2 linked regions of the Schizosaccharomyces pombe genome follow. The protein of the gene in region 2 interacts with the protein of the main gene of each other region in a biochemical or structural test. Each region holds a gene or a part of one and is shown on either strand. Other genes may lie near its edges.

Evidence for each region.
Region 1: of the proteins of mcs4 (region 2) and mpr1, one has a biochemical effect on the other in vitro, tested with the Schizosaccharomyces pombe proteins (one study listed by BioGRID).

The regions. Positions count from the first base shown.
Region 1 is NC_003423.3:1,201,052-1,210,490, forward strand, and holds mpr1 (histidine-containing response regulator phosphotransferase Mpr1), read left to right. Parts: upstream 1-2,000; 5' UTR 2,001-2,705; coding exon 2,706-3,593; 3' UTR 3,594-5,722; downstream 5,723-9,439. Other genes in the region: aspartate aminotransferase Maa1, read left to right, coding at 1-923; SPOM_SPBC725.03 (pyridoxamine 5'-phosphate oxidase), read left to right, coding at 5,989-6,762; 2-hydroxyacyl-CoA lyase Hac1, read left to right, coding at 7,914-9,439. UniProt on the Schizosaccharomyces pombe protein: Binds to the msc4 response regulator which is part of a multistep phosphorelay system that transmits oxidative stress signals to the spc1 MAPK cascade.
Region 2 is NC_003423.3:3,553,701-3,561,049, reverse strand, and holds mcs4 (response regulator Mcs4), read right to left. Parts: upstream 3,963-7,349; 5' UTR 3,777-3,962; coding exon 2,208-3,776; 3' UTR 1,913-2,207; downstream 1-1,912. Other genes in the region: tRNA pseudouridine synthase Pus2, read right to left, coding at 262-328, 366-1,654; leucine-rich repeat protein Sog2, read left to right, coding at 5,568-7,349. UniProt on the Schizosaccharomyces pombe protein: Response regulator that coordinately controls the stress activated wak1-wis1-sty1 MAP kinase pathway and fission yeast cell cycle.

The sequences.
Region 1 (9,439 bases), 2.4 Mb from region 2:
GGCTGGTTTCTGCTCAATCCATTAGTGGTACCGGTGCCTTGTGTATAGCAGCTAATTTCCTTGCTTCATTTTATCCATCAAAGACTATTTACGTATCTGACCCTACTTGGGGAAATCACAAGAATGTATTTTCTCGAGCTGGCTTGACCGTTAAGTCCTACAAGTATTATGATCCTGCTACTCGTGGGTTGGACATTAAAGGCATGTTGTCCGATTTAACTTCAGCTCCTGATGGCTCTATTATATTATTGCATGCTTGTGCTCACAATCCAACTGGTGTAGATCCTACGAAAGCTCAGTGGGATGATATCCTCAAAACAATGCAAAAGAAAAACCATTTTGCTCTTTTAGACATGGCTTACCAAGGATTTGCCAGTGGTGATTTTGCTCGTGATGCTTATGCCACTCGTCTGTTCGCCTCCAGCAATGTCCCCATGTTACTCTGCCAATCCTTTGCTAAAAACATGGGTCTATATGGTGAACGTGCTGGCTGCTTTAGCATTTTAGCCAACGATGCTGAGGAAGCCGCTCGTATCGAAAGCCAAACTAAGATTCTCATTCGTGCTTTGTATTCCAACCCTCCCGTCAATGGGGCCAGAATTGCCAACCATATATTGAGCAACCCTGCACTTCGTGAACAGTGGGCTGGTGAAGTTGTAGGCATGTCCGAACGTCTTAAGAGTATGCGTAAGGCTCTTCGCAACATCCTTGAAAAGGACCTTAAGAATAAACACAGCTGGAAGCATATCACTGACCAAATTGGTATGTTTTGTTATACTGGTTTAAATCCCCAGCAAGTTGATGTTTTGGCTAAACAGTATCACATTTACCTCACTAAGAATGGTCGTATTAGCATCTCCGGTCTCAACACTTCCAATGTAAGATACTTTGCCGAAGCTATCAATGCCGTTACTTCGAATTAGTCGGTGGTGAAATTGAAGTGAAAAGATTTTGGTTTATTATATAGACAGATGGATTTTTGATTGATTCTTTGTTCTGAATCTTTTTTGTTCTTCTTTCTGTTTTTATTTTATTATACATACATATAGACAGACTCAAACACACATATACATATACATATATTTGTATACATTTAATTTTTTTTCCCTTTTCATTTCTCCGAAACCATGAGAAGACGTATTTAGTAACCTAATTGTCTCGGCTTATTTTTTTTTCCTTATACTTTCGCTTTGAGGTGAATAACTACAGTTTTGCTTCCAAATAGATGGCATGGTCTGTTTTTAAATGAATGGATTTTGGATCTAAAAATTGACTAAATATTGATTCGTTTTCGAAATAGTATGCTTTTCGTTTGTCTATCTTCATTTATTTCCATACTTTGTTTCTGTAGATGTTTGTCTAGTAGTTCACTTACTTCATACTTTAGATTGCCTCTAGTTAACCCAAAATTTGGCACATTTTACTATCCTCTCTCATATACATATTAAATCCCACTTTTTCGTTGGAAAACTATCAATTATCTTTCCCATTGCATTTGTCATATGTTGGGATTTCCCAAGTTCATCAAACTTCTGAGATGTACGAAATAAGTGAGGTAGGAATGAAATTTGTGCAAAGCTTTTAATTATTTCTAAAAATAGGAGAATATCGCTGGAAATTGGCACCTTTCCAATGACTAGGATAGGCCCTATGTAGTGATATCGAAATAAATATCTGCAAAAAGAGTATCATTCTTCCCTCCCAATGTGCAATGCTACAGCCATCAGGAATTGCTGCGCTTATTAGGAAATGGCCGAAAATGCCAAAGATGGTGGGAAACTGTTCTTCCATCTCCAGTTCGTCTTTTTTTTCTACACTGACTGATATGGAGGAATCATTGAAATTCGGGGTATAGTGAGACGTAGCGTCATTATATTAATATACTTTATCGTTTTGGGTGGTTGTGTATCGGTACATTTGACTGCTTTATTACGTTGCATGGCGTCACTCCCAAGTGTGAGTTTTGCAAACAATTCTTTCGCGGCATTTACCTACTTTCCGTCTCCCATTTACTACATTAGAATATCTAAAAATCAGACATAAGCACAGGCAAAACCATAGTCTCTACTCTCTGCCTTACCCTTGTTGCATTTGAACTTAATTATAGAGAGAGCACTTAACAATCTTGTGAGGATTGGTTTTCTGTCTTTTGAATTGATACGAAAACAATAATATCGCCTTTTTAGTAGAGCTTGATAATTTTAGAACTTAGCAGAAGCTGAAGGCAAGTTTGTGTGGCGTCTAAAACTTGGCATCAAAGTTTCGAACACGCAAAAAAAGCTCCAAAACCGTATTGACTCTTTTCCATTAGAATCGTTGTTGAAGGAGATTTATCCACAAATCCTATTTAGTATTTGTGGGTTGTGTGGTAAAGCCATTTTCTTCTTTTGGTAATAGCCCTTGTACTGTACTACAGGTTAGTGAAACTGTTGATTATTTCATTTTGCTGGCATACCACACATTATTTTTATAATTTGTTTGTGTTGTCGACGCCTCTTTCAATAACTCACATTTCCTCGCTTTAATTTCAAATCGTTGTTAAAAAAGGAAAGTCTTAAATCTGATACAATATTCTGTATCGATTGCTACATTTTACTGTTTGCAAAGTAATACTGCTGATAAAATTTAGCTGAGCTTCTCCATTCGCTCTTACTTTAAACCCTTTTCTTTTTTTTTTGGATTTTCTTTTAATTATTTTCTAAAAAATGAGTGTATATCGTGATAACATGTATATGAAATACGACCGAAACTTCGAAAATCGTGTCGCCCGAAGAAATGGACAGGCGCGTAACGCTAGTCTTGCTAAGACTCTTCACGATTCTGGCATAGCTGAACGTGCACGCTCTCCTTCAGGGTCAGCGATCCCCCATGCTTATCGGGTTATGAATGGTTCTGGAGCGAATGACACTTCTTTACCACTGACCTCAAATCCTGCTTATGTTGCTCTAACGTCACGTATATCTTCGAGCAAAAGTGAAAACAATCAACAATTGGCTGCTAATGAGACGGCTGGCGCACCTGAAGGCACGGAGGAGACCGTTGACATCTCCAATTCTATTAGCGATGACCATGCGAATGCCAAAAATCTTCCCGCTGCTTCAGTCAAAGCTTTGGTTGGGGCTGGTGTCTTGTCGGATGAACTTTCAGTAATTGCTTACGATATGTCATTTGAGGATGAACTCATCCAAGACAAACAGCTCATTGATCATTCCGTTTTTGACCAGTTGCTTGAGATGGATGATGATGATGAGCATGAATTTAGTAAGAGTATTGTTTGGAATTATTTTGAGCAGGCAGAGACTACCATTGCCGACCTCCAAAAGGCCCTAGAGGCTAAGGATTTGAAGAAGCTTTCCTCGTTGGGGCATTTCCTTAAAGGATCTTCAGCTGTATTGGGCCTTACAAAAATGAGAAAGGTTTGTGAACGTATCCAAAATTACGGATCTCTACGCAGTCGTGATGGTGTAATGAAATTACCGAGCGAGGAAATTGCATTGGATTTGATTAGCAAATCTCTGTCGGTTGTGAACGACTTTTATAAGGATGCTCGAGCTTACTTACTTGACTTTTATGAAAAAAATTCTTCTACATAAAAGTCTCAACATGTCAAAGTACCTAGCCTTTCTTTCCCCCTTTTTATGACATTTATACCAGTTGTCTATCAAAGTCTTCTAGTTTTCCCAAATTTACGATAACTTGAAGTTAGTGATGAATTTCCAGCTTTTACGGTTTGAATAGTTATATTTATTATGACGCCCACACTTTTCCCGTACTTTGAAGTGCTTCCCTCTATCAAAGCAAATAGAGTGAAGTAATACAAGTCCTCAATTTAGTTGAGTATCCCCTATCCAAAACTATCAAAAACAGTCTATTTTTTGCTTTACCTCGTCTACCTTTTTGATATTGAGATATGCAACAGGCAGGGTTTTCCTGCGGTTTTTTTTTACGGAACATTTTTGAAGCTCTCGATATCAAACTTTATGTATTTAATAAGCTGCTTTCTCGAAAAAAAAAATTCTTGTTTGTTACGTTCTTACGGTCGTGGCATGTATTTATACCTTTATTTATCTAGTTTATTTACGAAATTGTCTATTGTGATTGTTTATCACAAGCCCAATCCCCTAATGTTGAAGGACTTTAAACCTTAGATAATATGTTTACAACCGGTCGTTTAAGATGCTGAATTTGGTTAATTCAAATTACTCTTCAACACTCATTTATCCCCACGATTGGCGACAGATTTTTTTTTTTTTCGAGTTTGATTTGCTTTGTTGTTGTTTTTTTATGTTTTTCCTAAGTTTTTAAACTGTGTTTTCAAATTTTCTTTAACCTAATGTTAATCATTACATGTACCTGATTCTCCTTTGTTTACCTTTTTTATTATTCAACTTGAGATGTTGATGGATTTTTTATGATTTTGGTGATAACCTTCACGTCCTTGTACATTACTGAGTTGTGAATTATGGTGGACTTCAAATATTGATTGACAAACCTTGCAAAAATTTTAAGTATATTGTTCTTGCTTTTTGTAATTATGATTGCTTTTGTCATTATCTCGCTTTAGAGAGATTATTTAAAGGATTAATGAAAACACCTTAAAATGGTCATTACATACAATAATTATTTATGATTTGATTCATTCAGCGTTTAATATGTGTACTTTCAAGTGTGATCGAACTGACTTTTAGCGTCACTTACTAAATGTTTTTGTTGTTGTGGGTTAAAGATCGAAAACAATTCTTCGTTGTAGATTGTTCGTTTTTGAGAATAAAAACTAAGAAAACACGTTTGCGATGAAATGAAATTAACGAACTTCTTTTTTTTGTTAATCGAAGTATAGTTTGTTCGATTCCGCAAAGACAAGAGAACATTGAAATATTGATTTGTGTGAAACAGCGAAATCAAGTATACCTCGTTAATTAGCGCGGCAAGTAGGATCCTGCGGATTCATAGACGTTCCTTTGGAGGCGAAGCGTTATTAGGATTTTCATACCCGTTGTGCAGCTTTTCGTCGCCTTGTTTTTCTAGAATGATGCGGGATGAATTGAATATGCGGAAGCTACAGATGTGCAAAAACTAGGCATAAACCTCGCTTGCCTTCTTAGTTTGCTAGGCAATGTGAAGCAAATGGTCATAATCCAAGTGATACGCCTGACAGAGACAATTTAATTTGTAAATTATTTTTATCATTGTTTTTATCCTCTGATGTTACAATGTATTCATTGATATCGCATTTCGGCATTCCGATGTTCAACCCCGGTATGCGAGAAGGTGTTGGCCGCTTTTTTCGGTATCAAAGTTGAAATTTTAGATGACTAATCTTATGTTAATTAAAGATAAGAGGACGAAGTTTGCTGAAATCAAGTACAGGTTTTGATTGACTAGGCATCCTCACTAATGGTGTGAGAGAAATCTGTTAGGATATGCAAGCTGTCATTTCTCACTTTTTCAATGTTGGAAACCTGTACACAGACAATGCATACTCTTTTCTATATCAATTTGCAAACTAGATGGCAGCTCATTGTTCTGTGAATAATCAGATTAAGGTACTGAACAACGGAATATGGATTGCAATGTTCTTTGAAGATCTAGAAGGGGAAACCATTTTTGTTAGTTAAAAGTTTTATTTTTTTGTTTTAAGTTACTAGTTATTGTCTTTATTTTCTTATTTTCCTTTCTCTGTGCACTAATATTAAATGATTTTACTCTTACTATTTACCAATTCTCTTGAGCAGATGAAGAGAGGAATATTTTAAAAAATTAGTGTAATCCACGATAACGTACAATTTGCTTTTTCAGAAATCACACACGATTTCGTTAGTAAGTTTAGCCGAACTTTAGAGTTGTGCCTTATACAGATATCTAGAGATCATTTCTGTATAGCGAGCGACCTTTAGTACGACACACTTAGCAAAGTCAATGACGTTTCAGTCAAACAAGTGACTTATATAGGATTCATACGTGCATCCCATTTCATCGTTTGCCAACATGTCCCTCGCTTGGAAAAATGAGTTATTGAAGCTTTTAAAAGAAAATGTCGACTCCAGTGGAGTTATTCATCCCGAATACTTCCAGCTGGCAACTTTACCCACTGGTAATGAAATTTACCCCAGAAATCGTACTGTAGCTATTCGAGGATTTGTCGGTACAGGATGGCATAAACCACGTCCCGATGATGTGCTAGCTACAGATTTATTGGTATTCTCTACGGATATTGCTTCTCACAAAGCTGCTGAGATTGCTGAGCAGCAAAAAAATACATTCCCCTCTGGACCCATACCGAACGCATTTGAAATGTGTGGATGGTTACCAAAGACAATGCAGCAAATTCGTATTTCCGGTCAAATTTGGTTATACACACCAGAACTTGCCGACCGAAATGAATTTCCCGCAGACAAGTTGATCCAGGATCATTTAATAAACAGCAATGGCCGCATTCCCGAAGAATGGTCTTGGGAAGAGGAAAGAAGACGTATTTGGGAGTTACATAGTCCTGAACTTCGCGCTTCCTTTTCTACTCCTCCTTCATACTCCAAATACCAAGGCGATGTGAAGGTGTCACCTTTACCTTCTACCCTCACTGGAAAAGAAGATCCCGGGGTTATTGAAGCTTGGAAGACTGCTTGGGGTAGATTTTCTCTTGTTGTTTGTGAGGCTAACGAAGTCGAGTTTTTGAATCTTACCCCTCCTCCAGGAAAGCGCGTTTTGCACAATAGAGATCTAAACACGAAACAATGGTCCTCCACTCGTGTCAATGTCTAAATGTTTTCCTTTTTTTTCGCACATCCTTTATGAATTGATTGCTCTTGATAAACGTGCAATACTTATGAACTACGAATATTAACTTATAATGATTACTCCTAACATTTTGGTTCTTTTTTTTTGTGGAGTATATGAAAAAGGTCTGATTCCCTCAAATTTGCCTAGCTTACAATTCGGTGGGTTTTGTAGTTGAATTTTTTTTTAGTACTGAAGCATAATACTGAGTACAAACTACAAACTCAGTGTATTCCGAATTTTCTAATGTTTATTTACGTTGTTAAACAACTAAATTATCACTTATCCTATGTCAAATTTCCAATCCGGCCACTTGATGAACTATTTACGTTTATAATAAATAAAAAATTATGAAAATTGTGTGTATTAAAGTACTTACAGGAAGACATTGTAAAAAATTGTTGCGAGATTAAGCAAATAGGCCAACCTACCTGCTAATGATGATCATTTATTAAAAGATCTTACCTGTATAATATTATATTAAGGTTATTACTATATGGCTTGTTTTATTATCTTATATTGTCTTACGCAGGTAGAAATGTAGCAAAAAAAAGGGAATAAAGCACCACATAAGAAACACAATGTCTTATTTGAAGGGACGGTGAATTGCCAAGTCATTTAATTTTATCGAATCAGTATTCATAGAACCGTAAAGGTCCCCGTTGAGTTAAGTGGCATTATTGAATACATGTGTGGATCTTAACTTATTAACGATACAAATTTAAAACCTGTTAACGTATTCCTTACTATACATTAAATACTTTAAGGAATTTTACCAAATTGGCTTATACATTGGATTATTAGTACTCGGTTACATAAGGGATTAGCAATTTCAAATACAGGATTGCTCATCCATCATTTTTTAAGCATTGCTGTTATTTAAGCTCATCTAGATCAGAACTTCTTTTTCTCTCTAAAGTATAGAACACTTGGTTTACAGAGTGACATACACTTCAGTTTGTCAGTTTATTGAGAAATAGGGACGGTATTGCTAGCTACTGGAACCAAACCCACCTTTACTTTGCTTTAGTCTTTTCTTGTTTTCTTCTGTCTTTCTTTTGCATTGAGCTTTTCATCGCTTTTGTTTGGTGAACAATATTATTCAATTTAGAGGTACATATTAATTTGTAATAACAATGTCTATAAGCTTTTCGGAATTGGTAGCTAAGACATTGTTGGACTTAGAGGTTAAAGTTGTTTTTGGCATTGTTGGCATTCCCGTAATCGAAATTTGTGAGGCTATCCAAGCAAGTGGAATTCGGTTTGTCGGGTTTCGCAATGAGCAAAGCGCAGCTTATGCAGCGACTGCCTATGGCTATTTAACTCAGCGCCCTGGGGTCTGTGTCGTGGTAGGCGGTCCTGGCGTTGTACATGCCATGGCCGGTGTTTTCAATTCTAAAACCAATCGATGGCCTTTGCTGCTTTTGGCTGGATCCAGTGAAACATTTCAGCAAAACTGTGGGGCCTTCCAAGAATTGGACCAGGTTTCTTACTTATCACCTCATACGAAATTAGCCGTGCGCCCCCCAAGTCCCAAAATGGTTGTTGATTCCATTCGAAGAGCGTATCGTGTCTCCATGACCGGCACTCCTGGAACATGCTATGTTGACTTGCCAGCAAATTATATTGAATCTACTGTCGATGACTTTCCTAAAGACCCTCTACCCCCAATTCCTAGTTCTCCCAAATGTGCACCTGATCCAACACAGCTTCAGAAGGCTGCATACTATTTAAAAAATGCAAAGGCACCTCTGCTTGTCGTTGGTAAAGGTGCCGCATATGCCTGCGCTGAAAAACAGCTCTTGGAATTTGTTGAACATACTGGCATTCCGTTTCTTCCGAGTCCCATGGGCAAAGGTTTGTTACCAGAATCGCATCCCTTAAATGTGTCTTCGGCAAGGTCAGCTGCTCTTCGTAATGCAGATGTAGTGCTCTTAGCAGGGGCACGTTTAAATTGGATATTTCAATATGGTCTTCCACCAAAGTGGTCTCCTAATGCCAAATTTATTCAAATTGATACCAATGCTGAAACTTTAGGAAACAATGCTGCAGATTTGGATTTAGCAATTTGGGCTGATGTAGGTCTGACAATAGATTGTCTTTTTAAGCTCGTTCAAACTTGGAAGTACAGTGTTGGCATCTCGACCCCTTACCTTCGCACGTTAAATGAAACCCGATCCAAGAATGAGAAAAAGGCTCTTGAATCTCGAAAGTCCAGTATACCGTTGCAAATGAATTATGCTTTGTATGTCGTGAATGAGGAGCTACAAAGCTTATCGCTCAAATCAAAGCGTAATATCACTTGGGTTTCTGAAGGCGCCAATACAATGGACCGGGGCCGTCAGCTTTTAGAAGTAACTCATCCACGTGGTCGACTGGATGCAGGCACTATGTCAACAATGGGAGTTGGTATGGGATATGCTATTGCCAGCGCATTTGCCCATTCATCCGACAAAATAGTGGTAGTTGAGGGTGATAGTGCTTTTGGCTTTAGCGCCATGGAACTGGAAACCGCCATACGCAACCAGCTGGATCTTTTGGTAATTGTAATCAATAATAATGGTGTTTACCATGGATTAGATACTGATGCTTATGAAACTTTACGTGATAATCACCAATTACCGACTACTGCCTTAGGCACTAGTATACGTTATGATCAAAT
Region 2 (7,349 bases):
GTTTGAATTAGAAAAAACCTAAACTAATTACTCTGCTATTTACGAAGTGGTTAATATGTGTATATACGTTAGCGCTACCTAAACCTAACAGGGCGTGTGACTGGAATATTCTTATAGGGTAGGGTTTTTGCTTAGTAGGAATGCTTGACAATTGCAAAAAATTAGCTTGCTTGCAGCAGTAGGTTTACAAAGAAAGAGACGAAATGGCTTTAAATTGTAATTATCTATTTGTCAAAATAGACTGTGAGTGTCTTGAACATTTCATCCAAATAAATAATCAAATTGATGTCCAGTATGTTGATCGATATAAGACAGGAAACTGAAAAATCTAGCATGTTAATGTCGTATGTAAATAAAGCACTTACAGTTTCTCTTTTTGTTCTAACTTAATTATGTCGGGGTAAATAGTTTTAATTTTTAAGGACAGAATGTCTTCTTCAAAGCAATCAAATTGAATTTTTTCTAGACCATCTGTAACAGAATCGTTATAAGAAGAAAATTTAATATCTTTTAAAAGAAGAACATGACCTGGACTTTTACTAATGTTCATCGTTATATTTGGATCGAACGCTTTGTCTATTAATCCCGTAGGAGCACAGCTTCGTATAATCATCAGAACATGAGCCATCATTTTACGAATCTGATTTAGCATAAAAGAATTACCTTTAATCGTAACAGGAATCCATTCCCAGTTTTCATAAACAAAAGGAGTTCCGCAAGTAACACTCTCAATGAATCGATAATTACTTGGTGATGTGGAGTCATCAGTGACAGTAAAGTTATGAAAATTATGCCGGCCTTCGTATTTCTTTAAAAGCTGTTGTAAAACCTTTAAACGATCCTCTTTTATACGATAATTCATATAGCAATAATATTCAGCTTGCTTTAAAGCCTTCTTTAATTTTGCTTGGGGAGGTATTACAATCCCAGCCGGAATAGGCTTTTCATAGAACATACCTTTAAATGGGTTAGTGAATGCATCTTTATTAGTATCAAACATTTCTTGTATTTCCTTCTGCTTAAGCTTCACTGTATTCCAAAAAGAAATCAAATCGTTCATTGAATAAACTAAATTTCTTTCTAACTCATTATCCAGTTTTCTTGATAAGTTTTTCTGCATTTTTTTAAAAAGAGGACAAGAGGGCTTAGGAGGAAGTAAAGCAAAAGAAGGAATTAAGTATTCATATGTCCTTGACTCGCAAGAAATCCTAGGATTAAAGTACTTTGGCGCAGGAAAGACACTCCACACACGAATTTGAGAACAAAGTGCTTCATTCAACTCAGTTTTAAGTAAGGAAATATCTAGTGGCTTATCGACAAAAAGATTTAATGATATTAAATTTCTTAATGTATGGACCCCTTTGTCTGTTCTAGCTGCTCGCGCAATACACAAATGTTCAGCATCAATGTTATTTGTTTTTAAATAGCCCAATTTTTTAAGTACAGCTACAACATCTCCTTCAATTGTTTTAAGGGGATTATTTATTTGAATCCCATGGTAACCATAACCAGAATATCCCAATAAAATGATGATACGAACTTTGTTAGATTCTTTTGTGCCCTCGATTTTTTCTCGCTTTGGTAATTTTGGTGTTTCTAGATCCTCTGCGGGTATATGCTCCTGTTGATTTTTTCTTTTCGAGATAGAAGTCATTTTTTATAAAACAAATCTTCTAAAAAAATTTAAAGAAAAAAAAAACACCACAGTTTACTATTAATTACAAAAACGTATTAAAACAAAAGACACAGAAAATATTGGTGTTTAAGTGTGGTATGGACGCAATCAAGAATGATGCACACGAGATTGAAATACGCTCATTTTTTAGCGACATATTAAAAGTCTTTACAACTAAAATATTAGATACGAAAATAAGATATCCTACTTTATTATCTTTGTAGATGAATAACGAAATTTTGGAGTTTTAATGTACAACATAATATTAGGTAAATCAGAAAGTGTTTAGTTATAAGGATAACACAATTAGCAATAAGTATCTATGACAAGCTGATCCATTAATAATTAAGGCAGGTAATTAGGTAAAGGAAAAGAGGAAATTATTTTGCTAGCAAACCATAGCGTCCGACAAATTGATAACCAAAAGATTAATTTTATACAATAAAAGATTACGGAAATAAAATGAGCGGAGCTCGACTTATTGTGGTGAACAGAACAAAACACAGTGATACAAAATTTGGTAAGGCTAATATCATCGACCGCGAAAACGGCACCAACCATTCCAATCAATAAGCGCTTGCATACAGCCCCACTCCGTAATTTTTTTCTCTAGCCAAACTAAAGAGACAGGCTTTGTAAGAAAATCATTGCAACCAGCAGCTAAAGCCTCGTTTCGATCAGCCATTAGGCTAGAAGCAGTAAGTGCCACTATAATCACAGGAGATTGAAATTTGTTTTCATTTAGCTGATCCTTTTCAGGTATCGGTTGTGTCAATTTTGGAGCACCAACTCCAATTGCGTTTAACCGCTCAAGTCTCCTAATTTCTTGGGTGACTTCAATACCGGACATCGTGGGAAGTTGGATGTCCATTAGAATCAAGTGAAAAGATTTCTTTTTCCACTTCTCGAGTGCTTCAAGCCCATCTTTAGCAACCTCCGAGGAAATATTGCGCTTCTTCATAAAAGTCTCTAGGATTTTTTGATTAATAATATTATCTTCAACAATCAAAACGTTAATTGGAGGAATCACTCCTTCAAGTAGACTAGCAAAAGGTGCTTTCGCACCTATGCCGGGACTTGTTAGAACATTGACTGGTGAAGTACCAACAATTCCATCTATTTGATTAGAAGGAAATCCTAAATGGGCTTGTGTATCAGCATTTAAGGGATCTTTGTTGTCTGCTATAGGAAATTGAGAACTGATATCAGGGTTCATCCTATTTGCTGCGTCAATATCAGCATTAACCGCGGGAAGGACTCCTGCGGTACCAGATTGTTTCGTATAAAGCGATGAATGACTAATACTTCTACTATTAGTGGGTGTCGCGACTTCGGCTTTCGCCAATTTTTCAGCTGTTGATTCATCAGACCGAGTCGACATTCCAATAGAATTTTTTCTAGTAATGGATTCGGCTTCGTCTGATGGTTGCGACTTGTCAGCTGAAGTTAGATCTGGTAAAGAGGGTCTTGAAGCCAATGTTTGCTGTCTAGAAGAACGAGGCAAAAGTAGTACGCCAGTTTTATTTACATTAGAGGAAGGAAGAGTTTGATGGGACCTAGTTCGGGATGCATTTCGTAAATTATAATTTAAAGGACCTCCTTTATAAGAATAAGTACTTTGATGTCGTGAAGGGGCAGAAACCGGGCTCTCAAGTGAATCAAGAGCAATGGATGGCTGTTTGATACGCGGGACTGTTTCGTTCGCTGGGGTAGGGATTATGTTAGGTGGGTATTCAGAAAAAACGGGAGGTGTTGATTCAAATGTAGAGGATGAGAGTTGAGAAGAGCGATATCTTAAGGCAACTGAGGTATCCGGCGACGCTACTAGAAGCGCGTCGTTAAAATCCTGACCATGAGGATAATAAGTTTCCATGACAAATAATATGCTTTCGTTGGGACTGAGTTCTCTAGATTGCAACTCCGATGATGCATTTGGTGGAGCTACTACACGAATCGAAAGCTCAGGTGCATCATAATACTGACTGATACGAATAGGGAATTTCCGAGCGATGGCATCTTTTAAATCGTCAACCAGATGATCTTCAGACAATATAACGGAGGAAGTAATCCCATCTGGAACTTTTTTAAACCAAATGCGCATCTTCTATATATCTTCTTTCTTTTGACTTAACCTCAACTTTCCTATATACAGTATGAACAACCAAAACAGCCGCCTGTTTTTACGTTTAACATTCGATAGCTTCTTGTATAATCCCCTTCTATTTTAAATTTAATAGAAATATACAAGTATAAAATCACTGTTCGTGATAAGGAATGAGTAAGGTATGGTTCACGATACAATACGGCAAGCCTACTTAAGGTGTTGAGTTTCGTTACCTAGTCGTGCAACAAGCGCTGGGGATTTAGTAGAGTACTTAGAGTAACACCTTCCATCTGAGGACAAAAATCGAATAAATTTTAACACGTGAAAATAATAGGCACAGCTAAAACTGCGATTGTAAATTATACATTCTACGATACGAGCAAATAAGTATTCGTTTAAAAGGGATACTGTTGTGTTATTGACTTACTATTAGAATTCGACATTACTAAAATTTAACTAATTGAGTAATTGTTTCTGAAATTTATTCCTTATTTTAGATTTTATTTAAAGTATGTAGTTTAAAAAAAAAAAAAATTAAACGTTATACCCATACTTAGTTGGCTACCATTAATGGTCCTATTACTACTTGTCAGGTTTGGATATTTAATGACTCAGATTAAATGATTTAATCAACACAAACCAATATTTTTGAAATTCAAAAATAATGAGGCTTCAATTTCTCAATGAGAAACCAAAAAAAATTATTTTAGATAGTAACCCATTTAGTCATAGAAAAAAAAACCGTGTTTGATTATATGTACAATTTATCAACTCATTTATTTTTATCAGGTTCTTAAATCATAATGATAAACCTAGGCGATTCTATTAGGAAGCAATATATTAAGGACTAATAAAATAAACAATAAATATTAATGATTAGGAAATCAAACGCACCAAGATAATCAAATTGATAAACAAACTATAGATAAATGACAGAAATATTGAATCAACAAAATTGCAACTCATTCAAAAAGTTATCAATTTACACTTAAAGAATTATTTACCACAAAACATACTGTAGCGTTAGCATTTGTTGCTCCTGTTAATAACGACTTCTGATCTCGATGAACTCAAAAAGTTCGAACCAACATAATATAGCGAGTGCTTTTGATCATTCAAGAATTAGAAATGAATGCTAACAATACTACATTACAATTACGAATTACTATATGTCACATGTTCTGATTACCTATCGTCTTACAAATGATAACAATACGATGTAGATCCACTAATAAATTTTTTAATTTATTAGCTAGAAATGATAGATGTAAAATCAAAGGAACAACGTTCTTTAGTTCAGCTGTGGTGGTTTGTTTAGAGATAAATTACATTACCGCCTTCATACAAGGATATCCGTAACCCCCGTTATCATACAACCATATGTACCGCTATGTAGTGCACATACGAAAATCAAGTAGTCTAACATATCATTAATGATAATTACGAACTGCATAGCTAAAAAAAATAAAACGCAATATCAAACTTAACGAAAATATTTTGTGTAAACGTTAATAAACTGTAATTATTTTAAGGAAAAGTGCTTATTCACGTTGTTAAAATAAAAAAGTACAACCTACAGATGCGTACACAGAAAGAAGTGAGTTTATTCGTTCCGCGAACTAGCTTGGCAGTAAATTTTGGGGAATTGACTTTTGTACATTATAGCATACCATTGTGGATCAATTTTATGTTCATTGCATTTTTTTAGTAATTATTACTTCTTAGAGTTCCTTTTTTTTTCAACAAAACCTTCGGATTTACGTCTGAGGTGATCGATCTTTTCATGCTATGTCTGCTCATGAGGTGTCCTCCACAAAAAACTCAGAAATTGAAAGAATTATTAAAGAGGCAGAAGATGCGGGTCCTGAAAATGCACTTACGTTAGATCTATCTCATCTAAACTTGCGGGAATTACCTTATGAACAATTGGAAAGAATCCAGGGTCGGATAGCGAGACTAGCGCTAGGCCATAACTTTATAAAGAGTATTGGTCCTGAAATCCTAAAGTTTACTCGTCTCCGGTACCTAAATATTAGATCGAATGTCCTTAGAGAGTTTCCCGAATCTTTGTGTCGACTTGAGTCACTTGAAATTTTAGACATTTCTCGCAATAAAATCAAGCAACTGCCAGAATCCTTTGGAGCTTTAATGAACCTTAAAGTTCTTTCAATTTCTAAAAATCGTCTTTTTGAGCTTCCCACCTACATTGCACATATGCCGAATCTTGAAATTCTTAAAATTGAAAACAATCACATTGTGTTTCCTCCTCCGCATATCGCTAATAATGACTTGCAAGATTCTGATATGCAGTTGTTTATTGCCAATATAAAGGGATATTTGTCGCGAAACGAATCAGTCTTTAGAACGCGAAGTGAAAGTACTGTTTCCGCTGCTTTATCCGCTTCAGCTAATCTTAGTCACTCGGAAGAAAATGACTCCTCTGTGGTTGATTCTTACTTATTTAGTGCCCCATCAGATACTAGCCATGCGGTTTCACCTGGCATGCTGACGTTTGTCACGCCAAGTCCCCATTCACATTCTCCTGCCGGGCATCAACAGTCCACACCCAAATCGACTTTGTCAAAGACAAATGAGAACTCAGAAGGAACATTGTATGATTCAAATGTTGCTCATGGATGCACTCATCCTCCATCACTTAATCAATTAAACAAATTTCATCTAGATGCGTCGCCTAGACAAGCCCGTCCTCGTAGGTCAGTTTCTTTAGCTACTGGCCTCAATTCTCCTTCTGTTTCAAAACCACCTTCTTCTGCTACAGGACCATTGTACCATTCACCCCAAAGCTCACTCACCAATTCCTCCGTCGCTAGTGCAGACGTTCAAGAACGTACTCACAATACTAACGGCGCTAGCCCCATTCAAGACCAAATTTCAGAATTCACTGATCAACATCAAAATCCCTCAAATAATGATGCTGCTTCCACACAATCGATTCTAAAAACAGCTCCAACGCAGTTGAGTGCGAGTGCTAAAACATCAGCCATAAGTTTACCTGAGGTTGCCAAGAAAGAGCGTAATAGAAGCAATAGTACAAATGATGATTACTCTTCTACTAGACTTCCATCGAGTGTTTTACATCGTCTTGAAGCCCTTAAAGAAGCGCGCAAACTTTCTGAGCAATTACCAAATCGAATTTTTGCTCAAGATCCTCATCCTTCCCCTCGTTTGAAAAAAGAAGAAACGCATGAAAATGGCTCCAATTTGACAAATGACTCGGTCAACAGCTACTTCAGTAACATTGGAGGGAGTGAGGTTGAAATGAAGCACTCGGCCTTTGAAAAAACTTTAGAGTCGTCTAGGGGCATATTGTTTTCGCTTTCGCAAGTCCAACAAGCCCTTCGTCAGCAACTTCTTTTTTGCAGCAACCCCGTTGTTTTAGATTCTATGCGTCATGTGTTACATACTGCCAATGTTCAAATTAAGCGGCTAATTCTGTGCTTTGAGGATACCCAACAAAGCAATGATGGAACTGCAAACATTAATTCCATAGTAAACGCTTCATTGTCTTGTATCAGCTCGTTTCGTAAACTAATTGAAGTGACAAAAAAA